Linked DNA regions of Stegostoma tigrinum. The protein of the gene in region 1 interacts with the protein of each later gene in a biochemical or structural test. Links are inferred from orthologs where the notes say so. Each region holds a gene or a part of one and is shown in the gene's direction. Other genes may lie near its edges.

Region 1 (15,533 bases):
CTCTGTGCATTTAATGTTGCTGCTTGGCTGCAGTGCAGTGCAGTACCTCGCATGCAGTGGCAGGTACTCATCTCATGAATTGGAGCAGGATGCAACTTTGGGCTCTTCATTTGTTCTCTTAGTGCTCACCCACTCTGCACCTACTTGGATTCTCACAGTATCCCTGCATTGCCTTTTTGCGCATTGCCACATCATTCAAAAGTCACAGACTCACAGTACTTCTGACTTATCTTGATGTTTAGTGCAGACATAAAGCCAGGCAGTCTGTCATAGTTGTCAGCAGCGATCAGTTAAGGGGGTGAGCATGTTGCTTTATGGTACATATTACATCAATATTACACTTACAGCACATGCCAGTAGCCGACACAATACCAAATGGCCATTCTCAAATTCTACTGGTCATCAATCAGGTCAAGGGGGATTGGCGTCGCTCAGGGGAACCAGCATAGTCAGAGCTTTGTCCAATATCATCATTTGACACAGTCAGTCAGGTGCTTAGGGAAGTCAGAAGTTCCATGTCATTATAATCTGGGCTTTGGGTTATGGTCAGTGTGACCAGACAAGGGATTAGTTCTATGCTAGCATAGTGCACCATAGATATCAATTGAAGTCCAGTCACTCATTAGCCAGGGGTCTGGCATTGTGCTAAGGTTGGCAAGTCTGTGTAGCTTAGCTCTTTTGGCTGCACATACAGTGACAGCCAATCAGGTAAGTGATGATGTAAAATCAAAACATAGAATCATCATAGAATCCCACAGTGTGGAAACAGGCCATTCAGCGCAACAAGTCCACACAGACAATTCCACCTCAACACATCCCCTAACCGTATCTCATACCTAACACACCTAACCTACACATCCCTGAATACTATGGACAATTTAGCGTGGCCGATCCACCCAACCTCCCCATCTTTGGACTGTAGGAGGAAACCAAAGCACGCAATGGAAACTCACACAGACATGCAGAGAATGTGCAAACTCCACACAATCAGTCGCCCAAGGCTGGAATCGAACATGTATATGAATGTGAGCTTCTATTTACTAGGAGTGTCACCTGTGCCACCTATGTGCCTGCTATGTTTACTGTAAAGGGCTATTTGTGGCTGGAGGTAATTGACTTGATGCTGAGTAGGCTTTAAACATGGTGCAGGTGGCAGAAATCTTGGAAGTTCCTGACAGTGGTAAGTACTTCTGCTGTTGGCGATGTAACACAGCACGAGAATGGTGTCAGCGAGGCCATGATGTGATATTGAGCCATATCTAATGAGATGAGCAGAAGACAGTTGCACGAAAAATCTCACTTGAGCTCATGGCATAAAGCCCTGAAAGAAATTCCCCAGAATTTATGCTTGACTGATATATGGTAAACTGTAGCCCAGTGTGTTCCAGACAAACCACTGAGATGGTCATTGTTGCCTAGGATATACAAGAAAAATGTTAAGATCAAAATCAGGAACTTCATTGCAGTCATTGACCTGAACAAAGGATTTTATTCATTCAATTGTAAGGTTCTGTGGATTGTTCTCCAGGGATTTTGTTGTCCAATAAAACTTCATTACAATCTTGCAACTGCTTCAAATACAACTGCAACCATCTTTGGGAAGAGATCTGAAGCAGACATGTTGAAAATCTGTGCTGGGTCAGGCAAGGCTTTGCTTTAGCCCCATACAATCTACAATCTCCCTGAAAGAGATTACTCAACTCATCAAAGATCTGCTGCCCTCTGCTGTGGGCATTAAATACAACTTAGTTCAAATCTTTTTTAACCTCAGTCACCTCCATGCCAAAACCAAACTGACCACCACAGCCACATACAACTTACAATATGAAGATTAACATCACGTTATTGCTCACTTTATCCTAGATTTGCAAGACATTCTTAATCTTTTCAAATCTGAAAACAAGAGACATGGTCTGTCCTTGAATGTAATGAGAAAGAAAACTCATATTAACCCAGACCTGGCCTGTCAAATATTTCACCTCCCACATGTATTGAAGAAGAGACTCTGTAATATCTTGAGCTACACCTTGGTAACAACCACTACCGAAATGGCCGTAATTGACAAGATCAGCTGCACCACTCAGCCTTCCACGAAAATGGCACTGAAGACTTGACTTCAAAGGCCTGCACAAGTCAACAAAAGTGCTAGTGTACAGAGCAATATCACCAGTCTACAGAAGTCTTGTGATACCTGGACTGTGTGTTAGCAATATGTAGGAGTTGAGAATCTCAATTAGCAATGCCTCCGCCACACTGTCTGGATTCAGTGGGCAGACAGTCAAACAAAGACTACTGTCCTTCTTCAGATCAGCTTTACTAGCAATTCTGGCAAATCTCTTTCAAAGCCAACTGTGATAGATTAGATACAGTGGCTGGATGTGTGAAAAGCATCTCCTCTGTCAGATCATGCTTTCTCAATTATCAAATAGCCAGCGTTTCAAGGGAGGGCAAACAAAATGCTACAGACGGACTTGTAATTTCTTCTGGAAATGTGGCAGCTTTGACATTAATGACTGAGAGAAGTTTCCTTTCAATAGTTTAAAATGGTGCCAACTTTTTCATCAAGTAACTTCATACTTTTTATTCAACCATCTTATTCATGTGGCAAAGTGATGGCAGAGCTGGAAAGAAAAGGAAGCAATTCCTGCATTCTAAATCCCAGTACGTAATGAGATACCCTGTTGCATTTGCCAAAGACCAATGCGGCAAGAATTGACCTGTTCCCTTTACAAAATTGCAGGAATTTGTGACCCTGAGTCAAAATTGTTCTAAAATCAAAGTATAGCTGACAAATATTGTATAACTAAAATGCAAAGCAGCTTATCAGTAGTTGTGATAATATGCTATAGATGGTAATAGTTAAAATATTGTATCCTCAAACACACCAGAGTGACACCACAAAAATACGCCACCACTATACTAAAGGTCTTGCTTAAAGCACCTAATCTTTGCAAGTGTAAAATTTACCTCTTGTAACATTGTTTTTTTTGTGATGTTTATTATTTCTGTTCCTTGCTCTGGCCTGAGAGGCTACTGGTTCAGAAATCTGTTGCACCTTGGAAGTCTGCAGACTGGAACTTTCATTAAGTCACCCATTTCCCTCACCCCTACACTTCATAATTACTGTTTCCCAATATGTAGTCAGGAAATAGAATGAAAGTACAAAATGCACTTTAATCTACCAAAAACCAGTGCTTCTATTATTAAATCTTGACACTCTCTGTCTCAAAACAATAACATAAATCAATTATATGGAACTCTGGCTGCAAAGCACAAATACAATAAATGAATAATACCATAGCTGACCAACAATTTAATAATTAAGCATTAACGGATATGGCTGCAAGCAATAGCCCAATGAACTCAAGATAACAACGTGTGAAGCTGGATGAACACAGCAGGCCAAGCAGCATCTCAGGAGCACAAAAGCTGACGTTTCGGGCCCAGACCCTTCATCAGAGAGGGTCTGAAGGGTCTAGGCCTGAAATGTCAGCTTTTGTGCTCCTGAGATGCTGCTTGGCCTGCTGTGTTCATCCGGCTTCACACTTTGTTATCTTGGATTCTCCAGCATCTACAGTTCCCACTATCACCAGCCCAATGAACTCAACCTGATTTAACTCAATCCAATTTCATGTCACAAAATTTAAGTGACTAAGTAGAATTATCAACAAATAAGGTGAATAAATAGATAATTAAATATGAATGCTTGATTCAAAAAGCATAACATCAAGGGAAGCAATCGATTTACTGTCTTTCCTGATACTTTCTTCCATTTCATTTGCTGAATTTGGTCTCCATGAATCATCCAAATCCTTATGTCCTCCTTTATTGCTGAGGTGTAAGTTTCTTTACAAATAAAGAGAAACCAATGCAGAGATTGCCAAAAGTGCACTGCTACCTTTTTGTGTGGTCAATGTATGTAATTTTTCAAACTGCCAAGTACTGCCTGAGATAGACATGTGTGGTGGGGTTACCTATTAGTGGGAACTAAAACTTGTAACTTGCAAACACTAAGGGACAAGTGGCAGATTATGGGCAACATGATTATATACTTTGAAATGCCTATATTTCTGACTGTTGACAAGCTTCATGAGGACCGAAAAGGCAGAAGGGAAAATTAGGGTGAAAAATGAAAGAAGCAATGTTGGCCGATCATTGGTGCGGCACAAAATTTCTGTTTTATGTGAGATTACATCATGCAGAAAGAAACAAGTACGTACTGTGAAGTTGGTAGAATAAACAATTTGCAAAGTTCTTCTCCCTGAATGTAATGGATCAACAGTTAAAGTTCAATCTTCTGAAGTCACTTATTGTAGCTTAAAGCTTCAATATTAATTCAAGTTGTCTATATCTCCTTACTTGTCAATTTAATACACTACATTGTAAATCTGCACTTCCCAGTCACGAACCATTTTAACTCCCCCTCCCATTCCTCAGATGACATGTCCATCATGGGCCTCCTGCAGTGCCACAATGATGCCACCCAAAGGTTGCAGGAACAGCAACTCATATTCCGCTTGGGAACCCTGCAGCCCAATGGTATCAATGTGAACTTCACCAGCTTCAAAATCTCCCCTTCCCCACTGCATCCCAAAACCAGCCCATTTCTTCCCCTCCCCCAACTGCATCCCAAAACCCGCCCAGCTCGACCCCTCCCCCACTGCATCCCAAAACCAGCCCAGCCTGTCTCCGCTTCCCTAACCTGTTCTTCCTCTCACCCATTCCTTCCTCCCACCACCAGCCGCACCTCCATTTCCTACCTACCACCTCATCCCGCCCCCTTGACCTGTCTGTCCTCCCTGGACTGGCCTATCCCCTCCCTACCTCCTCACCTATACTCTCCTCTCTACCTATCTTCTTTTCTCTTCATCTTCAGTCCGCCTCCCCCCTCTCCCTATTTATTCCAGTTCCCTTTCCCCATCCCCCTCTCTGATGAAGGGTCTAGACCCGAAATGTCAGCTTTTGTACTCCTGAGATGCTGCTTGGCCTGCTGTGTCCATCTAGCTCCACACTTCGTTATCTCGGCTTCTCCAGCATCTGCAGTTTCCATTATCATTGTAAATCTATCTTTTTTCAAAAGAAGGAGGCTTTGCAGAACACCTACACTCAGTTCGCAACAAACAACTACACCTCCCAGTCGCGAACCATTTCAACTCCCCCCCACTCCCCTTCTTGGACGACATGTCCAGCCTGGGCCTCCTGCATCGTTACAATGACGCCACCTGAAAGATGCAGGAACAGCATCAGGTATCAATGTGGACTTCACAAGTTTCAAAATCTCCCCTCCCCTGACCACATGCCAAAACCAGCCCAGCTAGTCCCCGCCTGATTTCAGAAATCAGCTGAATATTATTTAAATGGAGAAAGACTTCAGAAAGCTTCAGATCGGAGGGATTTGGGGTCCTTGTGTATAAATCATAAAGAGCTACTGTACATGTTCAGCAGTTAATCGCCAAAACAAATGGAATGGTGACCTTTATTTCAAAAGGAATGGAGTAAAAAAAAAGGAAGTCTTCTTTAAGCTATACCAGACACTAATTAGATTACATCTGGAATACCTAGAATAGTTTAAGGCCTTTATCCAAGAAAAGGTATATTGCTATTGTAGACAGTCCAGAGAAAGTTTGCAAAGTTGCTTCGACATATGAAGGGATTGCCTGTTGAAGGGAGCTTGAATGGTTTGGGCCTGTACTCAGTGAGGTTTAGAAAAATGAAAGGTGATCTTAGTGCAACTTGGAAGATTTTCAGGAAATTTGGCTGAGTGGATGTGGAGAGGCTGTTTTCCCCTTTGAGAGAGTTTAGTATTAGAAAGCGAACTCTCAGAGGAAGGGGTCACCCAATTAAGACAGAGCAGGAATTTGTTGTCTCAAAGGGTCATGAATCTGTGGAATTCTTTACCACAGAAGGCTGTAAGCTGTGTCATTGAATATATTCAAGACTGAGATTGTCTGATTTTTAATCAGTTAGGGAATCTAAGGTGAGGGGGAGAACGACAGGAAAGGGAATTGAGGATTATCAGGTCAGCTATGATCTTGACAAATGGCAGAGTAGACTCCAATGATCTGAATGGCCTACTGCCACTCCTATGTCTTATGATCATATAAACTACAATTTCAACTTTATGTGGTTTAACCTTGGCAAGCTAAAAATCTTATTACTATTTGCTAAAACAAAATTAAGGAGCAATTTAAATTGCAGTATAATAATTTGAAATTTGTGATGTTGGGACATCAGGAACCAATTTAACTCGGTGAGGAGATGGGCAATGAAGGTGTGGGATAATACAATGTTGATCATGAGATTCATGTGAGTTCTCAAGTGAGAACTGATTCAAAACAAAATTGAAGCAGAATTAGATTACATCTTACGTACAATCCTATTTGAAATCTTAGGTAGTTTATTGATTCCAGTTTAAGTGTAACACTCTGTGAAACCTAAATTTACAGCACTGATATTGTTGACAAAAAATTATTTATACTTAGTTCTTCATCATGGATGATCCCTGGAATGGTAGGTTTAACATATGATGAATGGCTAAGGATCCTGGGATTGTACTCATTAGAGTTTAGAAGGTTGAGGGGAGATCTAATAGAAACTTACAAGATAATGTATGGTTTAGAAGGGGTGGACGCTAGGAAATTGTTTCTGTCAGGCGGGGAGACCAGGACCTGTGGGCACAGCCTTAAAATTAGAGGGGGTAAATTTAAAACTAAAATGAGACAACACTTCTTCAGCCAGAGAGTGGTGGGCTTGTGGAATTCATTGCCGCCGAGTGCAGTGGAGGCCGGGACGTTGGATGCCTTCAAGGCAGAGATCGACAAATTCTTGATCTCAAAAGGAATCAAGGGCTACGGGGACAGTGCAGGGAAGTGGTATTGAAATGCCCATCAGGCATGATTTAAATGGTGGAGTGGACTTGATGGGCCGAATGGCCTTACTTCCGCTCCTATGTCTTATGGTCTTATCTATTGCTCTCTGCATACGTGAGCGAGGAAGATTCCAGAATGCCAGACGAGAGAAGGCGAATATTTTGTTGAGATTAAACTTCATTAAACTTTCTAACTAATGAACTGATTTGAATTGTAGTCATTATTGACACATAGGAAGACCGAAAAGCCAAGAACTTCCGTGTACGTACACTTCACACACACTACCATATGGATCTTCTCGACAATTTTGGTAAGATACCACGATATCAAACAGTTCCCTGTGACTTTAAATCGGCCAGGCAGAAGAGACTCCTTGCCTCTGGATGGCGCGGTTGCCCACTTAGCGAGAGGTTTTTTCTTTTTCCGGGTTAGATGGTCTGAGTCATTTGGGTGAGCACGTTGTAATCAGGGTGATAGAATCGCCGACAGTGGAACAAAAGGCTAGCGGAAGTCTGAGGACTGCAACATTCTGGGGAATAAAGGGCTGTGGAACGCTGAGGTCTGCAACATTCTGGGGAATAAAGGACTGTGGAACGCTGAGGTCTGCAACATTCGAGGGGGAAGGATAAAGGATTGTGGAATTTTAAGACGGAACGTTCGGACGGACAGACAGATAGACAGACATTCTAAGAACTTCACGGCGGGAGCACCGTGAGCTGCTCGTGGGCTTTCTGTTGAGGTTGAAGCGGCCTCCCCGGAGCACGGGCTGAGCAATCCTCATTCTTATTAAGTGTGCTGCAGTAGTGCAGTCGGTTATCATTAATAGAAGGTAATGCATTCTAAAGATATCAGCACCACACTGACTTCACTGGTGCAGAAGAGTAAACTTGGGGCAGAGTTGTGATTTTAATCACGCCAAAGTATTGAGTGCAACAGTCACGTGCGGTGTCTCGGTGTTTATATGTCTTCTATGCGCGGCCGAAATAGTAGTTATGCAGCTATGTCGGTAAATTTGGCACGATCCGATCTAGCTGCTACGTTGATGCAATCCAGAGTGTTTTGAAATTAACTCATGACGTTTTGACATGTATGATGTCAAATTGACTATTAGTATTTGTGCTTGGAGTGCAAAATTGTCAAGAATTCTATGAGGCTTCATGTTGGTATGAAGTATGAGTAGGGCTGCGATTCTTTCATTATAGCTATATTCACCTGATCTCGCGGTTTGCCTGGACCTTGGGACGATATTGATCAACAACCCGTAAAAGAGTATCCTTCCTTACTTCAAGCATAGTGCAGCATTGGAGAATATCAGCATAATATGCCTGTACAAATACTAAGGTAACAAGGTGTGGAGCTGAATGAACACAGCAGGCCCAGCAGCATCAGAAGAGCAGGAAGGCTGACGTTTCGGGCCTGGACTCTTCTTCAGAAATCATTTCTGAAGCAGGGTCAAGGCCCGAAACGTCAACCTTCTTGCTCCTCTGATGCTGCTTGGCCTGCTGTGTTTATCCAGCTTTACACCTTGTTATCTCAGATGCTCCAGCACCTGCAGTTTCTACTATCTTTGGTACAAACACTGGTTGTCCCTTCATTTTTAAGACACAACGTTAGTATTTGGATCCAACACTTTATTTTGAAGAACACGAATGGGAGTGGATCAAATAATCCTCAATCTCTCTGTGCCATTTGATTAGGTCCTGGTTTATGTTTTGTCATTTTCTTGTTTAACCTTGTACTCTTAGATTTTTGTAAACTAAAGAAATCAATTGATCTCTGTCTTTAACATACGCGAAGACTGAGCATCCACAATTGCATTGTGAGTATTCTGGTTTTTCAGATGGCGGCACCTATTCGGATGTGGCATAAAAAAGATCCTTTATATTGGGGAGGTAATGATTGAGAAATCTTCAAAGATTGTTATTTCCCAAGTAACAGTTTGCTGTTGTATAGGTACAAAATTAAAAAAAGAGTGAATTGTTTTAATATGTTCAGTCTTTGATCTGCTCAGGACCCAGATTTGACAAGATGCATTATGATGCCTTGCTTTAGAAATGTGACAATATTTTCCTTGAATCCACTGCATTAGGTCTCCAGATTTTCTGTTACAGTTGCTTTTGGAAGCATTTTGAGTGTTTGGTTCGGAAATCAAACTTTCACCTACTTTGGTTCACTTCTACTTTGGATCACACACCTTGTGATAGTTTGACTGCTGGAGTTCTTCTTGAAGGTACGGGGAGTGAATGCAGATGACCCTAGATAGAAGCATGCCCCTTCAACTAAGTAATGGCCTTTGTAGTTTTTTTCTGAGAGAAGGTTTGAAGAGGCTGTTACTGCAGAGTACCAGTCAAATTTCACAGTTCAAGTTTTTCTCAAGATATACAGAGAAATATTTCTGTGAATGTGGGTGAGCAGTCAGGTGGAAAGAGACTTCTCATGACAGCTACATGAGTTTCATAAATTTGCAATCTGAGCTAATGTCCCCTTGTTCCCTCCAGCCTACCTAACTCATAATTTAACAGTCTGGTCTTCATTGCTTAAGATTTCAAGTGCGGTCTGTTCCTGTGTTTTAGAGTTTTCCATGTGAACGGTGTTGAGTGACTAAAATGTCACACTTAACTGTAGAATAAGCACTAATGCTGACCTAACTCGTATTTCAAGTGCACCCGACTGCCCTTGCATTTGACCCAATGATAGTTCTTCATTGCCTTAGGAGAACCGGAAACAGGCTGAGGAAGAGAACCTGTTTCCCAGCTGGTACAGAATTATCAGCTTAATAACTTGGCCAAGATGGAATGAATGAAAGACGTCAGTTGATGAGTTCTGTCCTGCCCTTTTGTTCTCTTGAGCTGTAATTTTGTAATTTTAAGAGTAGGTGAAATTAAGAGCAATATTAAGTAGGAGATCACCCAGGTTAAAAAGAAGGCAGATTGATTTAGGATGTTGAGTGTCAGCTTCAATTTCAAAAAGATCCGAGTCCTAGGAGGCCCGATGGAGAATGTGAGTTGTTGCAGTTGGAGCTGCTAGAACAAAGATCTGTTTCTGCAGGAACACTCCCTGGACCCCACCGTATATAATGACCATGATGCTGTTCTAAATTAATTTAGTCTGCCTGCTCATGATCCATATCCTTCTATTCCCTGCTTGATGTCAGAATGCATCTGAGTCATTGCTATCAACTCTGCCTGTGCCACCTCCCCCCACCTCGAGGCACCCACCACACTTTCTTTTAAAACAAAAACTTGCCTTGCACATCTTCAGAAGTTTCCCCTCTCACCTTAAACCTACTGGCCCCAATATTCAACACTTCCACCCCCCCCTTAACAAAAACATCCCAAATCTGTCTGACCTCTCTTCACAGCTAATAAACTCCAATACAAACAGCATCCTGGTAAACTCCCTTGTACCTTCCACATCCTATAATATGGTGACCAGACCGGTACTCCAAATGGCCTGATACAGCTGCAACATGATTTACCAACTTTTATACTCAACACCCTGACCGCTGAAAGGCATTTCTAAACTAAAAACCTTTTGCCTTGACTTGGTCCGCATTTCTCTCGTCTGCCTATTCCTGTATCAATGAAGATGCCTCTTAAATGTTACCGTTACATCTGCTCCTACTACCGCTGGCAGTGCATTCCAGGCATTTATCACCCTCTGTATTTTTTAAAAAGAAACCTTATTCACTAGATGTGGGGGTCACTGTCTGGCCAGCATTTTTGTCCATCTCTCTGCCCTTGAGACTATGGTGATGAGTGGCCTTCTCAAATCACTGCATCCAAGTGCTGTAGATTAACTGACAATACCATTAGGGAAGGAATTCTAGGATTTTGACCCTTGCTTCTTGCATCTCCTTTAACTTTATCCTTTTCGCCTTAAATCTTTGTTCCCTAGTCATGGCACTTCTTCCCTGGGGAGAAAAAGATTCTGGCTATCCATCCCCCTCAAAATTTTGTTAATTTCTTTCAGGTCTTCCCTTAGCCTCTTGATGTTCAAGTGAAAACAAACCAGTTTGCCCAAACTCTCCTCATAGCTAATACCCGCCAAACCAGGCAACATCCTTGTAAACTGTGGCTGTACCCTGTCCAAGGCCTCCACATCTTCCTTGTAGTCTGGCGTCCAGAGTTGTGTGCAGTATTCCAAATGTGACCTAACTGAAGTTCTAAGCAGCTGCAACATGACATGCTAATTTTTATGCACTTTGCCTCAACTAGTTGAAGGCAAGCATGCCTGATCCCTTCTTGACCACCTTATCGACTTGTGTTGTCACTTTCTGGGAACTGTGTACCTGTACACACAGATCCCTGTTTGTTCATGATTGTAAGTGTTCTGGCGTTTACCCCTCCGCCCCACAATCCCAAACCTTGCATTCGACCTTCCAATTTGCATCACCCAGCATGTTCCAAATTAAATTCCATCTGGCAATGTTCCTCAACATCAGCAGCTCCTGCATTCTTTGTGTCATCTGCAGGCTTACTAATCAGATCACACTTGTTCTCCCCCCACATAATCTTATATGTAGTACAAGCAGAGGCCCCAGCATTAATCTGTGCAGAGCACCACTGGTCTCACATCTCCAGTTGGAAAAACATCATTCCACCACTACTGTTTTCTATGACCAAGCCAATTCTGTATCCATCCGTCACTGTTTCCATGTGACTTCACCTTCTTAATTAGCCTACAATGAAGGACCTTATTCAAGGTTTTGCTAAAGTCCATGTAGTCAACATCCACTGCCCTGCTGCCTTCAGTTATCCTCTTTACTTCCTCAAAAAAGTCAGTCAGGTTGGCGATTTGATAACCTTAATGCTTTTCAGATGTCCACTTTTTTCATAGCAACATGCTCCAGGATATCAACATACCCCTCTTTCCATCCACCATGTCCTCCTTTGTGAGTACCAATGCGAAGTATTCGTTAAGGTTTTCACCTGCTTCCTCTGGCACCACACATATATTCCCTCTTTTGTCCTTGAGTATATCTACCCTTTCCCTAACTACCCTCTCACTCCTCATATGTATGAAGTGTCTTGGGATTTTCCTTAATCCTTTTTGCCAAGGATGTACCATGGCCCCTTTAGCGCTCCTAACTCTTTGTTTGAGTTGTTCAATTTCTCTTGTCATCCAAGGTTCCCAAATCTTGCTAGCCTTATCCTTCATTTTCACAGGAACGTGCCGGTCCTGAACTTCAATCAACTGGCTTTGAAAAGATTCCCACGTGCATGATGTGGATGAGCCTTCAAACATCCACTCTAAATCACCAATCCCCAGTTTCTGCCTCGTACTGTCATTGTTAATCTTATCCCAGTTTCATGCTTTCACCCAAAGACTGATCTTATCTGTAAGTACCTGAAGAAATGCTGAGTTATGGTCACTATTCGCGAAATGTCCCCATACTGAAAGCACGTAACAAATTCCAACTACCCCCACCCCCGAAAAAAGAGGTGTCCCTGGCTCTGACGAAGTCCCAATCAGTATAAGGAAAGTTAAAATCACCCACTATAACAACCCTGTGTTAGTTCCACATTTTTCGATTGTCTCTTCCTATGTACTCTGCCGGCTGTTGGGAGGCCTGTAATAGAACTGTATCATGAATTGTTATTTAGGAAGTTTATTTGTCTGAGCCAAAGAAAGAACAGAAGAAAATTGAGAGGACTATCAATCACAGCAGGTTTTTGAAAACTCGAGAGACTAGTCATTTGAGGAGCGTTGGGAACCTGGTGTTGTGCAGAACCTGGACCAGTTTGTAACTCCATGACCCTAGTGTAAACAGAAGGAAGAGATGGGTTCATAAGCAGTTTGGACTTAGTAAATTGATAGCAGGGATTGGGGACTCTAGCTCTTGAGATATTGGAGAGGTTAAAATTGTACTCCCTGAAGCTAAAAGGATTAACAGTTGGTAACCAGAAGGTACAGATTTAAGAATTTGAAAAAGAATTAAAAGGTAGTTGAAAGTTTATTTTCCTTGGTTATTATTCTGATCCAGAATGCACTGCCTGAAAGGTTGGTATAAACAGTTAAATAAGGACCGTCAAATAGGATTTAGATAAATACTTTGAAGGGGAATGAATAGATGGAATATAGAGAAACTGGAGGGAATTCGGATGCATTACATGTCTGTGCCAACTCCTCAGAGCTAAGAGAGGTTGAATGACCTGTTGCACTGTATGATTAAGTTTTCTTGGGCCTTTTGGCAATCGAGTAGTTAATCATCCGGTGTCTATTACATCAGCCATTGACTCCTCCATTGAAGCTGTGATAATTTCCAAATGGTGCTCTTTTGCTTCTGTAAGATTTATGATTTATTTTGTTGGAGCTTGTTATTCATTGTTATGAATGTTTGTTTGTACTCGTATCTTGCTCTGGTAACTGACCATTGTGATTGAGCCCACAGACAGTACATTCCTGTAACCAACAGATTTGTCCGGTTTTAAGTGGAGTTTCAGTGGTTTCTTGGGTTCAGCTGTCATTTTATGCACGCTTCAAAACACTAGATAGTACCTAAGTAGCAAAAGTCATGTAAGCTGAGGGAATGAGTCTGATTTATCTGCCTGGTGTAAGTTGCTTCTGCTAATCTGTGCTCCGAATAAATATGATTTGTAGCTGTAGCCTAGAGGTAGCCAGCTATCGAGGTACGTAGTCAACATTTCCTTCACATGTATTCCTTGCAAACAGATTAATACTTCACGTAGAGCATGGTAATTCTCATGTGATGTTTCAGGTTTCTAAGTGAGGATGCCTTGTTTGTAGAAATGGCTCCTTGGATTGGGTACGCAAACTAGGGATTGCAAACAGATTAATACATCACCTAGAGCATGGTAATTCTCACATTATATGCAATGTTATGTTTCAGGTTTCTAAGTGAGGATGCCTTTGAGTTTGGTAATCCAATGTAAAACAATAAACTACTAACCTCAGCGAGGATAAATGGGAGTCCAGTTCCACATACACAGTCAATGCATGAGCCCTGGTGAAGGTTCCAACACTAGCTGTTGGATCAATGCCTGCTTTTAAAACAATGGGCAACATGTAAAGCAGAATTTATATAGCAGTTTTTGAGTGTTAAACTGTCCTGTAGTGTCATGTAAACATCTTTTAGTTAATGTGATTAACTAACTGATATCGTGACTTTAGAAAAATTTTAGATGTAGCAGATGGGATTAAATAGTATCCATTGGATGGACTGTAAAGTTTGAAAGCTTAAGGAAACATGAGAGTAAGCATATGAAATGCTGAATTAGGACAGAGGTTACTTTTCGACTTGACCTTTTGGAGCAAGTCATAGGTAGGTACTGAGTTGAGTGGGTTTGCAGTATCTGTTGAGAGAGATGCTGAGTTCCTGACTGTCCTTGATGTTGGTTGATGTACTTCCATGGTCATTGAATTCCTGGATCTTGTTGCACTTGCAAGGTGGAGGGGAATTGCTTGGACTTTCCCCCTGAAACAGGAGGGGATTCCTTTCATTACCCCACCACATTGTAGATTGACTGAGAAAGGTTATGTACTGCTAAATTTCTTTTTCGCCCTTGCTCAGTTAGGATGTCGGCATTAGACTTTTTTCAACGTGTCAACAGTGCAACGTCAGGGCCAGTTGTCTGTGTGTGAGGGATAATCGTGACTGTATTGCACTGGGTCAGCTAGTTATTTCTTGCCCATCTTTCGTATTGGGTTCACTTGGAAAGATTACTTTTTGTGAAAAAAGAACATTTTTTGGGTGGAGTCATCATGAAACTTGGTTTTTGAATGCAGCCAAGAAAAATTGGATGTCACTGGGATTTATTCTCGTGATCAATCACTGCACTTTCCGAGCTGACTGGTACCTTCACTATTTCCCTTGCTAAAATGAGGCTTTATTGGCAACCATCCAATAAAGCTGAAACCTTCAAGCCTTTAACTAGCTCAGTGTGGCACTGCAGCCTGGCTAAGGCAGTTAGAATCATTAGGCATTTGTGGCCAGCAATAAATAACAGCAAGTGTAACTAATTTTGTGTCCAGTCACTCCTCTGCCATACTGTTTAATTGCTGCCCTTCAGCAGGTTTTTTGTCCCTGCACTTCAGATGGAAATGTGGATTCTCGGGGGAAGTGCAGTGGTATCTGATTGCTGTCATTTTGGATGAGATGCTTTGAGAGCAGCCACAGAGATGAGCTGCTCTGCTTGAGATAAATTGCACGTGACGTCTGTGTGATGAACCTGTCAGTGGAAAGCAGAGAGTCCTGTTATTGACTGTTGAAGTGTTGCAAAGGATTGACCACTAATGGGTTTAAATTATGCTGTGGCTTTCGTAATCAAAGCAAAGAGATGTTGCTGCTGAGTTTGAAGAAAAAGGTATTGCTCTTGGACATACTGCTGACTTAAGTGATTTTTGTCCCAACTTCATCAACTAAATAAGTCATTATCTTCAGACAGAGCTATCGTGTGGTGAGGCCAGACAATTAACCTATGATTTTTTTTACTGCAGAATTTTTGTTCACTGTCCATCAGGGCAAACTTTAAACAAAAGTACTTGGCCTTTTTGGAAACTTGACTTCATAATATGGAGTGCATAAATTTTCTTAACAATCCCAGATACTACATGGGTGTTGACATCCACCCCGCACACTTGACCACCTCACCACCTTGAGCCCCTCACTTTCTCTCTTTACTGTCATTCTGCCAATTTGCC
Region 2 (15,311 bases), on another chromosome or scaffold:
ATAGAGTACAAAGTGGTTATGTTAAATTTACACAAGGTATTCGTTCACCTTCATCTGGAGAATTGCATCCTGATTCAGGTGCCACATTTTTACAAAAGATGTGGATGCATTGGGTGGGATGCAGAAGAGGTTTGAGAATTATTTCAGTGATGAAGATAGATTGGAAAAGGCCTTCAAGAAAAGACTGAGAGATGATCTCCTGGAAGTATTCAAAGTTATGAGATCTGAACAAAGATGACTAGAAAATGTTCCCACTCCTGAAAGAATCAAATGGCTCAAATTTAATGTAGTGAGTAAAATATGAGCAAAATCTTTTTGTCTTTCAATGACTGGTTGGTTGATTGTAACAATAAATCAAATCATGTACCAAGTACAGTGAAAAGCTTTGTTTGTGAGCAGTACAAGCAGATCATAGGGTGAAAAAAAACTTGGACAGAGTGAGGCATTCAGGTTATGCCCTGTAGAATTTACTCTAGGCAAGAACAACATTAACAAGATCAACATTATTTGGAGTCAGACAGTCCATTCATCAGACTAATAACAGGGAAGAAGCTGGTTCGAGTCTCGAATGCAATGCCAGACTCTTAAGACATGTTTAGTTAAGGCCTTTGAAGGGAAATAGACATATTTGAAAAGGAATAATGTTCAAGTTACGTGAGGAAAGGAAGAGAGTGGCATGGAGATGCGCATTTGGAGAACCAGTTGTGCTCCTGAGATGCTGCTTGGCCTGCTGTGTTCATCCAGCCTCACATTTTATTATCACAGACACTACCTCACTGCCTTAACAATTCTGTGATCTCTTTCTCTTCCTCTTCCTTTCTGTTGAAACTTCTTAAACAAAGTGGCTTAGTGCTATGCCCTGTGTATTTTCTCAAGATAATTGAGAGAATCTGCTTTTAGTTTTCAAGAAATTTCAGCATATAATGAGCTTAGTATCTCTAAAACAATGTTGCTCCTTGTTCTCCACAAGCAGAAAGTTGTATTTCTTGCCCCCAGGACTTTAGCTTTGCCTTCAATGTTAATACATCCTGTAAAGTATTAACTTCCAGTAAGATACTCTTGCAACAAAAGGTTTACCTGCATAACTCCAGATGTCTTGCTTTTAATCATGAGACTCCTCTTATTGCAACACTTCAATTTACTTTTGGTTCCCTTTTAGACTCCTCAACTACTGGGAATAGTCTGTTTTCTACTTTGCATGTCCCCACCTCTATTTGTAACTTGAAACTTGAACCAAATCACCCCGTGATTTCTCTTCTAGGAACAGCTCCTTTTGTTAGCGTGATTTGAGCTCCTTTGTTTCAAATCTCATCAGCACCATCTTTCTAACGTTTTGCTTTGTCAACAGGTATAACAATTATGACCGAACCGTTATAAGCACAGTGCCTCATGATGTTGTTCATCAATGGTATGTTGCACATCGAGCCCTTACGACAGAACTCAGAAAACCAGAAAATGAAATCTGGGTGAAACTCAAACCTGGAAAGGTAAGGAGGTAAATCATCCTGCGGTTTGGGTGTTGAGTGGGTGGTAAATATGATTTATCTATGCTGCAGTTACAGGGCAAAAAATGCCTTTTGAATACTGCTGACTGTAGATATTTTACATAAACATACTCTGGGGATGTTATTACATATGTGATATCAATCATCTGAACCAGGCCTTCTGGTTCAGAGACAGGGACATTACCGTGTGCCACAAGAGCCCTTAAACATTGCAGTTTCATATCAAATGGCTAGCAGGTACCATATGTCAATTAAGCCACTGTATTCATTTGCTTGAATTGGTAGAATTGCTTCCTTTTGCGAGACAAATTGATACTTTGAAAAACCAAGTACTTTCCAAAGGGACTGAGAGAGTTAGTTTTAGTGCAAGATCCACTTACCCACCTGGAACTGTAGTAACGGACTACAATTTGAGCAAGTGACTGAATCTTGGATCTGTAATAAACAATCAGACATTGCTGAAGAAACTCAGCAGCATCTTTGGAGAGAAAACAGGATTAACATTTCTTCAGAACAGAACAGCAAATCTGAGACCAAAGTGTTGGCACAGGAACACAGTAGTTTATTGAAATGGCAGGCGACTATAGATTCATGATGGTTTAAGTGATCACAGAACATGACAGCTTTCATGCAGCTAACAGTAGTCATCCATTCTGTTGTGGATGAAAACATTTTAAGTTATAAATTATTTCACATCTCACTCAGCTACATATCAGAACAATTATTTACACATCACCTGTATAAGTATGTTCAATCCACTTATTGAACGTAACGTCACCATCTATTGACTCTAAACTTTGACAAATTCTGCACAGTTCAGATTAGAATTATATATGTATGGAGATGTGTAACATACCTACGTGGAATTATTTCTGATATATGGAAATTCTTCTGGACGTACCTCATTTCACTGCCAAGTCATTCATCTCTAGAAGAGGCATGTCCAACAAAGAGCTTTGTGGACACAAGATATAGCATATTGTGTATAACATTTTATGCCTAATCCATGATGAATGTTGATTCCAACTTGTGCAGTTGTGAAGTTTTTAAGTTAAGTTTACTATTCTGTAAATGCTCTGGTTGAGCAGAAGTGTTATAAACGTTGTAGCAAGCAAACTGTTATTCCTGCTGCTCTTGTAATTTTTTGCTAGATGTTTCTTACCCATCTGCCTTTTGTTTATGTTAAAGTTTGTACTTTCACAACCTACATTAAGAGCATTTTTAAGGAAAAAGTCAAACTTTCATCTGCATGTAAAGGTTCATTTAGTGATTTTAATGGTTGAAGTTTTGAAAAGCTCAACCCGTTTACAATTGTAAATTATGTAGAGCTGCTTAAGATGGTGTTTTACATTTGAACAGCCACTTATCTCAGTCACTGCCTGTTGGATGTGATATCTAGTTGTCCTAAGAGCAGGTGAGTCTCAGGTGTTACTTTGTACATTTTCACAGTGATCTATTTGAGGCAAAGAGAGTTAAAGGACTTTCATAAGTAGAGTACCAATGAGCTATATACCAAAATTGTTTTTGGATTTTGAATGCTTCTCTACGTCAGTCTTTGAAATAATTGTTTGTGATGAAAGAACAATGCTATTCATCAAAGGCAGAGATTGATAAATCCTTGATCTCACAAGGAATTAAGGGCTGCGGGGAGAGTGCAGGTAAGTGGAGTTGAAATGCCCGTCAGCCATGATTAAATGGCGGAGTGGACTTGATGGGCCGAATGGCCTTACTTCAACTCATATATGTCTTATGGTCTTATTGTTTTGTAGTTGTTGTTTCTCACTGGGAAGTAAAAATTGATACATATGTACTAAAATTGTAACATTTTAAATGAATGCTTGCATCTACTATAGGTTTTATTTGTTGATAATTGGAGAGTCCTTCATGGACGTGATGCATTTACTGGATACCGTCGTCTGTGTGGCTGTTACCTGATGAGAGATGATGTACTGAACACCGCAAGATTCCTTGGGATCGAGATTTGAAAAACAAATTTCTGAACTTCTTATACAATTTGTTGACTTCAGAGTTTTGACATGTATCTGAATTTTAGATTTCTAGAGAAACTTAAAAGATCATGAACTATATATTCATTGAATCAGACAGTTTTACAAATTATATTTAGTTTGCCCAGCTGAACCATAATGTTAGTTTTAAATCTTTATTATTATTATCTTTCAACTACTGCTTTTTTCATTTTGACCCACCCTCCTCCTAATGGATTAATGAAGTTTATTATTCCAATTATGTAAAGTGAAATTCATTGTATACAGTTGCCAAAGAAATTGTGATCAGAACCATTTGTGAAAGACTAGAGTGGTCAACTTGAACAACAAGATCAAAAGCATGCTCTCTACATTCAATATTGTTTAGTTTAAGAGTATTTATAGTTTATAGTGCTTAAATTTGAACTTGGCAGTTGCTTGCTAATATGTAACTGGGCTTTTCCTCCCATAATCACTTTATATGACTGTTAACAACTGCACTATTATGGATAATGTTTTATGCAAAGCCTAGTAAAAGCATAGTAACATTCACGATGTGGAAGTGTTGATGTTGGACTGGGGTGAACAAAGTCAGAAGTCACATGACACCAGGTTATAGTCTCAACAGGTTTATTTGAAAGTTTATTGAAGTCTTTAGCTTTTGCAGTGCTGCTCCATCAGGTAGAGATTCAAATAAACCTGTTGGACTATAAACCTGTGTCATGCAACCTCTGAATAATATTTATGTTCCATGCTTTATACAGATCATTTCTGGATATTAGAATGTTTTGAATTAATACCTAAATAAAGCTCCACCCATACATTTCTGGCAATGAGGAAACTTTTTTCTGAGACACAGTTTTTAAATGTGATATAAGGAAGTTGTGAGGATTCTAAATCTCGGTTGTAAACACAGCTATTCAAAAGGGAGGAGAAACAGAAAATTGAATAGGTCAATTAGTTTGACACCATAGTCGGGAAAATGCTAGGATCCATTACTAGCAATGTTCTATCATATGTTTGGGTAGAGTGGATGTAAACTTATGAAATTAAACAGTTTTATCAGAAATATTGTAAACTTTTTGAGGTTGCAATAATGTATGTTCAGGGAACTACAGAATGTTAATCTTCTAAACTTTCAGAAAGCGTACAATAAAATATATCACATCTTTACTACAAATGGGGCCTAGGGGATTGAGTAATATTTTGGCAATGATTTGAAGATTGTTTAACAGACAAAGTACAGGAATAAATAGATTATTTTCATTTTTGGCAGGCTGTAACTAATAGGATGCTGTATGGATCAGGTCATCAACTACTTAAATCCATAAGAATGTGTTGTGGAGCATCAAAGCAATGCATAAAGTCTGTTGACTTTACAAAATTACTTACTTTTGCAAGTTGTGAGAGAGATAAATGTGCTTATAGACATGTTAAGTGAGGGGCAAGAATATGACAAATGGAATGTAATGTGAATAAATCAAAGCTATTCATTTCAAGAAAAAAATGAAATATTTAGAATTGTAAGAGACTGAGAAATATTGCATTTAGAGGAAGCTGCATGTTCTTGTGCATGAGTCACGAAATGAACTTTTTAGGTACAGAAAATAATGTAGATATGCAAATATTGCTAGTCTATAAATGGATTGGAATGCAAAAATAAATAAATCTACTACAACCATTCAGCTCATTGGTAATGAGCAGTACAATTGTACATGAATGTTCTGTACAATTTGTTAGGAAAGGTATATGTGCCTTGGGAGAGGGTCTTATTGCGCAGCTGTAGAGTGCCTATCTCTGAGCCAGAAGGATTGTCCAAATCCTAACAGCCCTAGACATTTCATATATATGAACATGTTGATTTTAAAAATACTTTTAAACTGGCCTTGGAAGATGGGATAGCTTTAATATGGCTATGAACTGAACAAGGGAATGTGACCTGCTTGTCCTCATAGACCAGTCACAGAAGGTAAACACGCAGAGGCAACCAGCAGTAAAGAAGGCAGATCATATGTTAGCCTTTAGAACAAAAGGTTTTGAGCACAGCAGCAGAGAAGTCTTGCAGCAATTGTACAGGGCCTTGGTGAGACCCCATCAGGAATATTATATGCAGTTTTGGCCTCCCTGTCTGGGGAATATGCTCTTGCTTTAGATGGAGGGCAGTGAAAGCTCACCATATGAATGGCAGGACTAATATGAGGAGAGGTTGAATCAGTTGGATTGTATTTGCTGGAGTTCAGGGGTGATCTCATAGAATCTTAAGATTCTAACAGGACTAAACATAGTAGATGCAGAAAGAATGTTCCTGATGCTTTTGAAGTCCAGAAGCAAGGATCAGAGTCTAAGGATATGGGGTAAACCATTTAGTACTTGGACGAGGAGAAATTTCATCACCCAAAGAGTAAAAAGCCTGTGGAATCTGTTACTGCAGGAAGCTGTTGAGCCCAAAACATTGTACAAGTTTAAAAACGAATTGCATATTGCACTTGGGCATACAGGGAGTGGTGGGGAGAACATACAGTATTGAGTTGAATGATCAGTTATGATCAAAATGAATGATGGAGCAGACTCGAGGGGGCAAATGGGCTATTCTATCTCCTACTTTCTATGTTGAACAAAAAAACAGACCAGTGATCTCTCAGGATTAACCGAGAACAAACAGACCATATACCTGCAGTTTAGAAGAAAGAGTTGCTCCAGAACTAGGTGTCACTGTTTAGAAATTAACTTATTCCCATTTAAAACAGATGAGCCAATTTTTTTTTAAGGAAGTCACGTCTTTTTTAATTACCAGCTCAGGAAGGCAGTGAAAGCAGTGCTGTTAATATTTTTAAAGCAGAGATGATAGATTCTCGTGAAGCAAAAGAGTGAAAGGTTATCATAAATAGAAGGGCATGTGGATTTGAGATGACAATAAGATTAGACATAATCTTATGAAATGGCAGTCAAGATCTGAGTTGAATTGCCTACCCCTTTGTTTGCATGTACCTCGATGTTAAGTTTCTTTAAGAATGTTAAACATTCAATGTACATGTTTGGAGGATGTTTTTACCTCTGGTTGGGGAATTTAGAATGAGGGGCCTTCACGATCTTGTCTTACGGAGCTAACAGTTAGGATGGAGAAATTTCTTCACTCTTTTATGAAGAGTTGTGAATCTTCTGAAATTTTATAAACTCATCATTTCATAGATTGCTGAGGATAAGTTCATTCAACACAGCTGATCGAGATGCAAAGATCAGGTATGCTATTCATGGCTGACTGTGCAGAATAAAGGGGCTGAGTGGATTCCTGTTGCTCCTGTCTAAATTCTAAAATGGTGAAATAAAAACATAAAGAATGGAAAAATGGAATAACAGCTCCTCGTTTGGGGTGGGAGGAAAGGTACTTGAGATACCTGTATGAGACCAGTGGCATAATGGTGAATATTGGTCAGTAATTTATTTGAGGAAATAGAAATTTAAAAATTGAGAAAGGGAAAGGGTTGAGATGAACCTTGTGAACGGGAAGGAGGTAGAAATTGGAGACAAAGTTGTTAATATTGTCCATTTGAGCAAGAGGGGGAAAACAGTGCTGTGTAGCCCCATGGATCCCCAAGGCCCCAAATGTCACTTCAGGATGAAACCTCAAAACATTTTCAATGTGGTATTTTCTAGAGTTCTCAATTTCTTTGCTTCTACGGCCCCTCTGTAATGAAGCACAATCATTTTTCTCTATGTAAAAGCCACTCGGCCATTTCTCTACACAAAACATTTCAACTGAACATGTCTTTCTTTCATACTTTAATGTGAAACTTATGCTGGTGCTGAGTACTAATTCTGTTGAGATGTAGAAGTATCTATTGCAAGTGCATGTCAGGTTAACTTCAGCACAAGTGGACAAAAATGGAGACTCTTGCCAAAGTTGGTAGTTATGCTGAAGATGGTTGGCAGTCACTAAGGTTAATAAATTGTGACTGGAGTTTATAAGAACTTCTAACCTAATTCCTTATTTTCTAGTTAACATTAAAGTCTTTTTAAAATTTAAACTATTAGATTTATTTTTCTACTTGATGAAGGTAATGGTTAACTTTTCAACTCTAAGTTTTTTTTTTGTACCTAAGATGGCTTTACCTCTGGTGACATAATACACTTTTCACAACACACTTTAGTACAGTGAAAAGTCTGTGTGGACTCAGGTAGAGATGACGACCAGAGAAGTCTGAAAGGGAATCTGACTGAGTTGGACAAAATTGAGCATCATTAAATACACAAAACTTCTACATTCGAGAAGAATCAAGAACAACAGTGCATAGATTTCAAGAAAGGGGCAAGAGGTTTAGAGGGATTTAAGGAAGTTTTTTTCAAGCAGAAGCTGTCTGCAACTCAGTCTCTAAGCACATGGCAGCTGCACAAATTACCACAATATTTCAGAAGTATTTTGATGATCACTTTAAAACACCATAGCATACAGAAGTTGAAGGGTTTTGATAACTGGCACAGACATGATTGCTGCAAAATTGAGGCTCATGATGCTGAGACTAATGTTAGCAGCAGAATGAACTCTTTGCTTCTCTTGTCTGTTGTTATCAAGCAGAGTGCAGTTCATGGGCTGAGATTGAATGCTGTTTGGATAGACTGATATACAAGTATATGCGCACACTCTAATTCAAGTGGTGATTTCTGACTCTGTCTTGTGCTAGTTAAGGAAGAATAAAGGTATGGGATGGTGCCTCTGATATAATAATGACATAATCAACCTATTCAGAAATGTTATTACACACTTCCAGAACAGGTGAGACTTGAACCTAGGTTTCCTGGCTCAGTGATAGGGATTCAGCACTACAAGCACCCTTCCTCATATCCCAAATTAGCAATAAATTGATTTAAATTATCTGTAGAGGTAGATCTGGAACCAAATGGGGAGTCCTTAGAAAACTTCTGTCAAGTCTGGACTGCAGAAATAATTTCCCTTCCCCATTCCCTTCTGATCTCTCTGAACTTGGGTATTTAATGAGCCAACCCAAGTTTAAGAAATACCAGTTCAAATATTGAGACACTTTACAACCTTCTTCCCTCTTGAGTTCAGCAGATTGATCATAATGTGTGGCACAATGGCTCAGTGGTCAGCTATGCTGTCTCACAGCACCAGGGACCTGAATTTGATTCCACCTTCGGGTGACTGTGTGGTTTTTCACATTGTCTCTTGTCTGCATGCTTTTCCTCCAGGAGCTCCGGTTTCCTCCCACAGTCCAACGCTGTGCAGATTAGGTGGACTGACCATGCTAAACTGCCCATAGTCTCCACAAATGTGCAGCCTGGGTGAATTAGCTATGGGAAATGTAGGGTAGCGAGGTGAGTCTGGGTGGATGCTCGTCGTAGGGTCGTTGTGGACTCGATGGGCCGTTTGCCCTGCTTCCACTGTTGGAAATTCTACGATTCTATAAATACTGCATGTATTTTATCCAGGAGCATTCGGTGATAATCATGCTAATCCCATTTACGTCTCCGTTAGACTGATCTTGTTTTTATGTCTGATTTCATTTACTATGCACCATCATTCGTCTTCTAATTTCTCCTGCTTCCAGCTGATCACTGACTTTTAATATTCCCCCCCCTTTTCGTAAATGTGTATAGAAACGTGTATACTAACACTTTACCGTTCCGACAATAGGGTCAAAATCCTGCCCTTCCGAATATTTCTATATTTTTAGCGGGTAGCTATATTTCAGATTTTCCACCATTAACAGGCTCTTCTTATAGACTGGGCATGCGCCGTCTTCCATCCTCCGCCATCCCCCCCTTATAATTGACATGCGCGCAGTAGTGCATTGTGGGGCGGGTGTTTAATTGGCTTGCGCGGAGTGGAGCGCGTTTCTTCACTTGGCGATCGGAGCGAGAAGATGGCGGGTGGAGATGGTAAAGGGCATTGTTTGTCCGGGGTGGGGGTAAGGAGTCAGAATTAATACGGCGGCTGCAGAGAACGATCTGTAATTTGCAGACTTGTTTGAGGGGAGAGAGAGAGAGAGAGTGAAGCCGGAGTCACGGCGGCTTCAGGGCATTGCTTACTGCCGGGAGGGAGGTAGAGGCCGCGGCCTGTAGAGGGGAGACGGTTTTCGCGCCCCTTGTAACTCGCAGCAACTCCCTCCCCCACTTTTGGTGTTTGCTTTGAATGTCGGTGGTTTCCTGGTGGCTGGGGGATATCGCCAGCATTGCCCTGGACTCTGGATGGATGGGAACAGGCACCTGGCGCTAATCGGCGCCGAACACGTGGTCCCCACGTTTGGCGCCGGGCCTGGCAGTTCGGTTTGCTGTTTGTCGTCGCCACGAGTTTCCAGCCACAGATTCCATTTCCATTTCACAACTACAAGTACGCGGTTGGCAAGCTGCCTTCTGAGATTAAATGCCGTAGCAGTTAGACAGGCGATTTCAATCATAATGTGCATTATTATCTTACACACGAATTTCATGAGCATCATTTTCTGCCCCGTGATTGAATTCATATTAGCCTTCTATAACGAGTCCAGAATTCACTTAATGTAAACTCTAGCTGGTTAATTAATGTAGACAAACAAGAGGCGGGAAGAACAGAGCAAGCCAGACAGCATCTGGAGGAAAAGAGAGGTCAAGTTTCGGGTATTACCCTCTTGATTGCCTACCTTGGATTACAGCATTTGCAGTTTTTTTTGTCTCTAACTAAGTTTATACCACTGCAAAGTCCCTTCAAAGGATACCCATTTTGAAGATGTTTTCTGCCTCCCTTGGACATGAGTCGTGGAAGAAGGGTATTATCCAGAATGTTGACTTTTCCTTTCCTTCAGATGCTGCCTGGCTTGTTGTGTTCTTCTAGCCTTCTGTTCACCTACCTTGGATTCCTTGGCCAGCAGCATTGATTTTGCTTGTGTACTGAACCTACTGCATTATGTCTGAGGAAACAACCATATGGCAACAGATAGTAACTTGCTTTTGATTGTCTGAAAGTGTTTAAAAAAACTGTTAATAAGTGCATGCGTTTTGGTACGGTGTTTTTACTGTTTGAAATATTCCAATGTGGGAGTACATCCAATGACTTGAATCTTCAGTTTATTGAGGGATTCTAACCATCCCTGTTTGTTGTTTGCAGCATCTATTAAAAAACAGAAGAAGCAAAGGAAGAAAAATGGAGAAGGAATTGGGGTAATAATTTTATTTTCATATCTAGCATTGAGTGCAAAAATGAATTCCTACTACTGTCTGAAATTGTCCAAGAAGTGAAGCAAGGAGCAAAATGTGGGAGCAGCCTTGGAGGTGACATTAATGCAATCTCTGTTGGAAGGGAAATCCATGGGTCTGAAAGCCGATTAAATTCCCTGGATGTGATGGGTAGCAATCTCAGATGTTAAAGGAAGGAGCTACAGAAACGTTGGAGGCACTGGCAGTAAAATTCCAACAGTGCTTAGATTCTGGAAGTGTCCTGGGTGAGATTGGCAGTTTTCCAACATTTCCAGCATAAAAGGAATGGAGACAAAGCCAGATAACTGTAGGTAGTTGGATTAACATATGTAATTGGGAAAAGTTTATTTTAACGTGCGTAGTAGAAACATATTTAGAAATACATACTAAATTCAAATAGAGGCATGCCTGACATTTACTTGAATTCTTTCATGATGCTTAGTGCCCATGGTAGTGAGTAGTACATTAGCATGAATCAAAGATTGCCTAACAAATTGAAGATAGTGTTGAGATAAGGATTTTAAGGATGTCAAACTATAACTATCACAGGGATCAGTGCTGGGACCACCGTTTACAATCTGTTAATGATTTTGATGACACACAAAGGGAGGTGATGGCCTAGTGGCATTATTACTGGACAGGCAATCCAGAGACCCAGATAAAATTCTGGGAGCCGGGTTTAAATCCCACCATGGCAGATGATGGAATTTGAATTCAGTGAAATATCTGGAATTAAGAATCTAATGATGACCACGAATCCATTATCAATAATGTCCTTTAGGGAAGGAAATTGCCATCCTTACCTTGTCTGGTCTACCTGTGACTCCAGAGCAACAGCCATGTGGTTGAGTCTGAACTGCCCTCTGGGCAGTTAGGGATGGCAATTAATGGCAGTCTAACCAACGACACCCTCATCCCATTAATGATGAAAGAAAAAAGGTCTGTAGAGATAAGTTGACATATTAAGTGAGTGCAGAAACTTACCGATATTATACAATGAGGTTGTGCATTTTTGGAAAGAAACATATTGAATATTTTGAAAAGGAGAAATACAGGGAGGGCAGCACTGGGATTTAGGGCCACTCCTGCATTAATCACAAAAACACTTGAATACAAATTCAGCCAGTAATGGGGAAGGAAAATGAAATTGTGGTCTGTCCATCAAAGAGAATGGAGTATAAATGTAGGGAAGTTTGGCGAAACAATGCCAGCGACTGGTTAGACTACACCTAGAATATTGGGCTCAAGTTTGGATGCTGTAATCGGAGGAAAGATGCGTTGGCATTGAAGGCAGTCCAGAAAAAGGTCACTAGATTGGCATTTTGAGTATGGAGACATTTCATAAAGGGGAGAGGTTCAGTCAGCTTGGGGCCTGCACGCACTGGAGTTAGAAGAATAAGAGGTGACTCCTTTGCCAGTAAATGTTTCTTGACAGTTGCTCTCGAGAGGTTGTTTTGTGAGGGTAGTGAATCTGGAATTCTTCACCACAGTGGACTGGGCCATTAAAAATAGTCAAGACAAGGAAAGATACTTTTAGTGAGGGAATCAAGGATTTGAGTAAAGGCAGGACAGCCATAGTCATTCAGCATGGAAACCAATCCTTTGGCGCAACCAGTCTATGCCGAACATAATCCGAAACTAAATAGTCCCACCTGCCTACTCCTGGCCCATATCTCTCCAAACCGTTGCAAACACTTATTGAAATATCTTTTGAACATAGTAATTATGCCCACATCCATCACTTCCTCAGGAAGTTCATTTCACACAGGAATCATTCTCTGTCTTTTTAAAAAAAAAACAAATTGCTGGTTGTCTTTTTTTTAAAATCTCTCTCCTCTCACTTACAAGTGTGCCCCCAGTCTTGAAATTCCCCCTGTTCTAGGGAAAAGACATTTACCATTAAACCTATCCCAGCCCACAAGATTTTATAAACTTCTGTAAGGTCATCTCTCAACCTGTTGTGCTCCCATGGAAAAGTCCCAGCCTTTCTTGACAACTCAGACTTTCCATACCTTGCCACACCCTGGTAAATCTGTTCTGACCCCTCTCTGGCTAAATAATATCCTTCTATAACTTGGTGACCAGAAATGGACACAGTATTTCAGATGAGGCCTGTACAATGTCCTGTACAACCTCAACCTGACTTCCCAACTCCTGTATTCAGTTGAGTTGAAGATTTTTCAGGTCATCTCATTGAATGATGAAGAACTTGAAGGATGAATGGCCCACTTTTCTTTTGCATCTTATGGGCTCATTAGTGGTCTGTTTGGCCCCTCCATTCTGCCCAGCAGTTCAATAAGAGTGATCTGATTGTGCCCTGTGACTCTTGATTCCCTGATGATCAAAAATACATCTTAAGTCAATCTTGGATGTATCTGATGAGCGAACTTCCATTTCTGTGTAGTAGAGAATTCGACATTAACAATCCACTGAGAACAAATTTCTCTTCATTTTTAATCTCTCGATGAATAAATTTGAAATTCTCTTAATTCCAGATTCCCCATGACTTTCTCAGTTTCTACACTGTCAAGTCCCAACTTGTATCTCAATAAGACCACCTCTTGTTCTTCTAAACTCCATATTGACTCAAAGCTCAATGTGCTTGATTTTTCCTCATGAGACAACCCTTCTTAGAAATCAATTAGATGCACTGCCTGCATTTCCTCCACTACTTGCACATCCCACCTATTGGCTGAGCCTGTGAGCCAACTTGGGGATCCATGCATAAGTATAACTTTGGTTTCTTTGTACCATGACATTGTGTGCTTTTAATTGTGGAGTGATTGTACCCAAATGATATGGTATCACCATTAGGGTAAAGCCGGTGTCCAAGTTGCTGCAGGAAGCGTTAAACTCTGTGAGGGAGTGGTTTTTGGGGGAGGGAAGGGAGGGGGAGAGGGAGATCCGGCCCTTCTGTTTTTGCTGACCAGTGGTGTGGAGTGTTCTCGGAGAGCTGGGTTGGGCCTCCCTTCTATTATTGATGTATTTCCAATCATTACTTTTGTGATGTCATGTGATGACAGTGTGTGTTAACTGATGCTGCTAAGGTTAATGAATGTGTCCATTTAAATAATGTCCTGCTTTTCTATTTTTTTGCACCAGAGCAGCCAATTTCACATCTCCTATATGATTCTCAATCTATCAATGCTTGACCCACATAATTAACTCATCCCATTACAAACTTGATTTTATTCATTGCATGCTTTTTACAGTCAGAAAACGTGACTCGATAAAAGCAGACCTCTAGTCAGAAATATTAATCTTGTTTGTAGTTGAGATGCCAATTTCTAATGCGTCTTGCTAGCTTAGCTATGACGCATTGATCCAAATTTCAATTTATGCCAGTTAGCCAATCTTCTAACCATGCTGGTATTGCCCCCAATATTTTAAGATTTTACATGGCACATGTATTTCACGCCCCTTGGAAAAACAGATGCATCATATCATTCCCCATTTTGCTTTTTCTTCCTTAAAGTGCTCTTTGAAGGAGAATTGACACGATGTACTGAATTTACGGCTACTACATGCTTAAAGATGAATTTCAGCATTTTGCTAATGACAGACACTAGGCTAATTAGTCTGTAGTTTCCTGATTTTTGCTGCCCTCCTTTGTTGGAGTTGTTGAATTTGTAATTTTTCCTGTCATTAGACCTCTAAAAAAACCATTTATTAATGATAAATAACTGATGCTAATATTAGATTTTTGTCCTCTAACCTTGCATTCTGAGAAATGGCATGCGGAAAATGAAACTTTTTACAGTGACATATCAGCTCAAATGATGAGATTTCTGCACCTTTTTTATAGTTTCAATGCAAAGGCTATCTGAAGGGCTGTGATTCATTTGCCTATTGTAGTCAATCATAAATAGCCTTGCCAATGTCACTGACTATCCACTCATGTTCTTGAGAAAATGTCATTGATGCATTTAGCTTTTTTATAGCTTGAGAGCTTAATCAGAATTGAGAATAGGTAGAAGTTTGAAATGCAAAACCTAAAAGTGTAAAGCAGGAGAAAGGATAATCTGGAGGCAGGAAAGATTGTAAATCATAATGATGTCCAGGGGATGGGTATAGTAAAGGAGCATGTGTTCAGGTGAGGTGTGAATGCTTACATTACTGCTATCCAAACGCATAGGAACAAATAAAGAAATAACCAAAACTAATACGAGAACAGAAGCAAATTTGAGGGCAAAGATACAATTTGAAATGGTTGAACTCTATAATGAACAAAAAAGGCTGTAGACTGTTTGAGTTTGTGTTCCCCAGATTGGAACTGCCAGGTAATTCCAGCATTTTCTGATTTTATTTCAAAATACCAGAACTTGTGCATTGTAGTTGACTTGATACAGATGGCAGCTGCTGTATTATGTAGGGTAATTTGTTGTACTCTTAATTGTGGACAGTGTATTTATACTAATGGGACTTAAGTCATCACTCTTTATTATGCTTCCAGAGTATCCAGCAGGAGACTGATTTTCTAATCGAACCACAGACAAAAACAGTGAAACTAGACACGTCTCATTGGCCTTTGTTACTAAAGGTAATCTCATTTAAATATACAGTTGTGGTCATAAATTATTATTAATCTGCAGATAGTTTATGAATGTGTTATGGTCATGTTGATATCTGTTTG

The links.
Region 2: the proteins of shq1 (region 1) and dkc1 are reported together in a solved structure, tested with the Homo sapiens proteins (2 studies listed by BioGRID, with this or other methods). The link is inferred for Stegostoma tigrinum from reciprocal best matches to the Homo sapiens genes SHQ1 and DKC1.

What each region holds. Positions count from the first base shown.
Region 1 is NC_081364.1:39,855,179-39,870,711, forward strand, and holds the start of shq1 (protein SHQ1 homolog), read left to right. Parts: upstream 1-7,314; 5' UTR 7,315-7,698; intron 7,699-9,005; exon of another isoform or gene 9,006-9,099; intron 9,100-15,533. UniProt on the Homo sapiens protein: Required for the quantitative accumulation of H/ACA ribonucleoproteins (RNPs), including telomerase, probably through the stabilization of DKC1, from the time of its synthesis until its association with NOP10, NHP2, and NAF1 at the nascent H/ACA RNA.
Region 2 is NC_081368.1:49,356,648-49,371,958, forward strand, and holds the start of dkc1 (H/ACA ribonucleoprotein complex subunit DKC1), read left to right. Parts: upstream 1-9,280; 5' UTR 9,281-9,369; coding exon 9,370-9,385; intron 9,386-10,589; coding exon 10,590-10,642; intron 10,643-15,131; coding exon 15,132-15,218; intron 15,219-15,311. Other genes in the region: tmlhe (trimethyllysine dioxygenase, mitochondrial), read left to right, coding at 1,349-1,487, 3,359-3,490.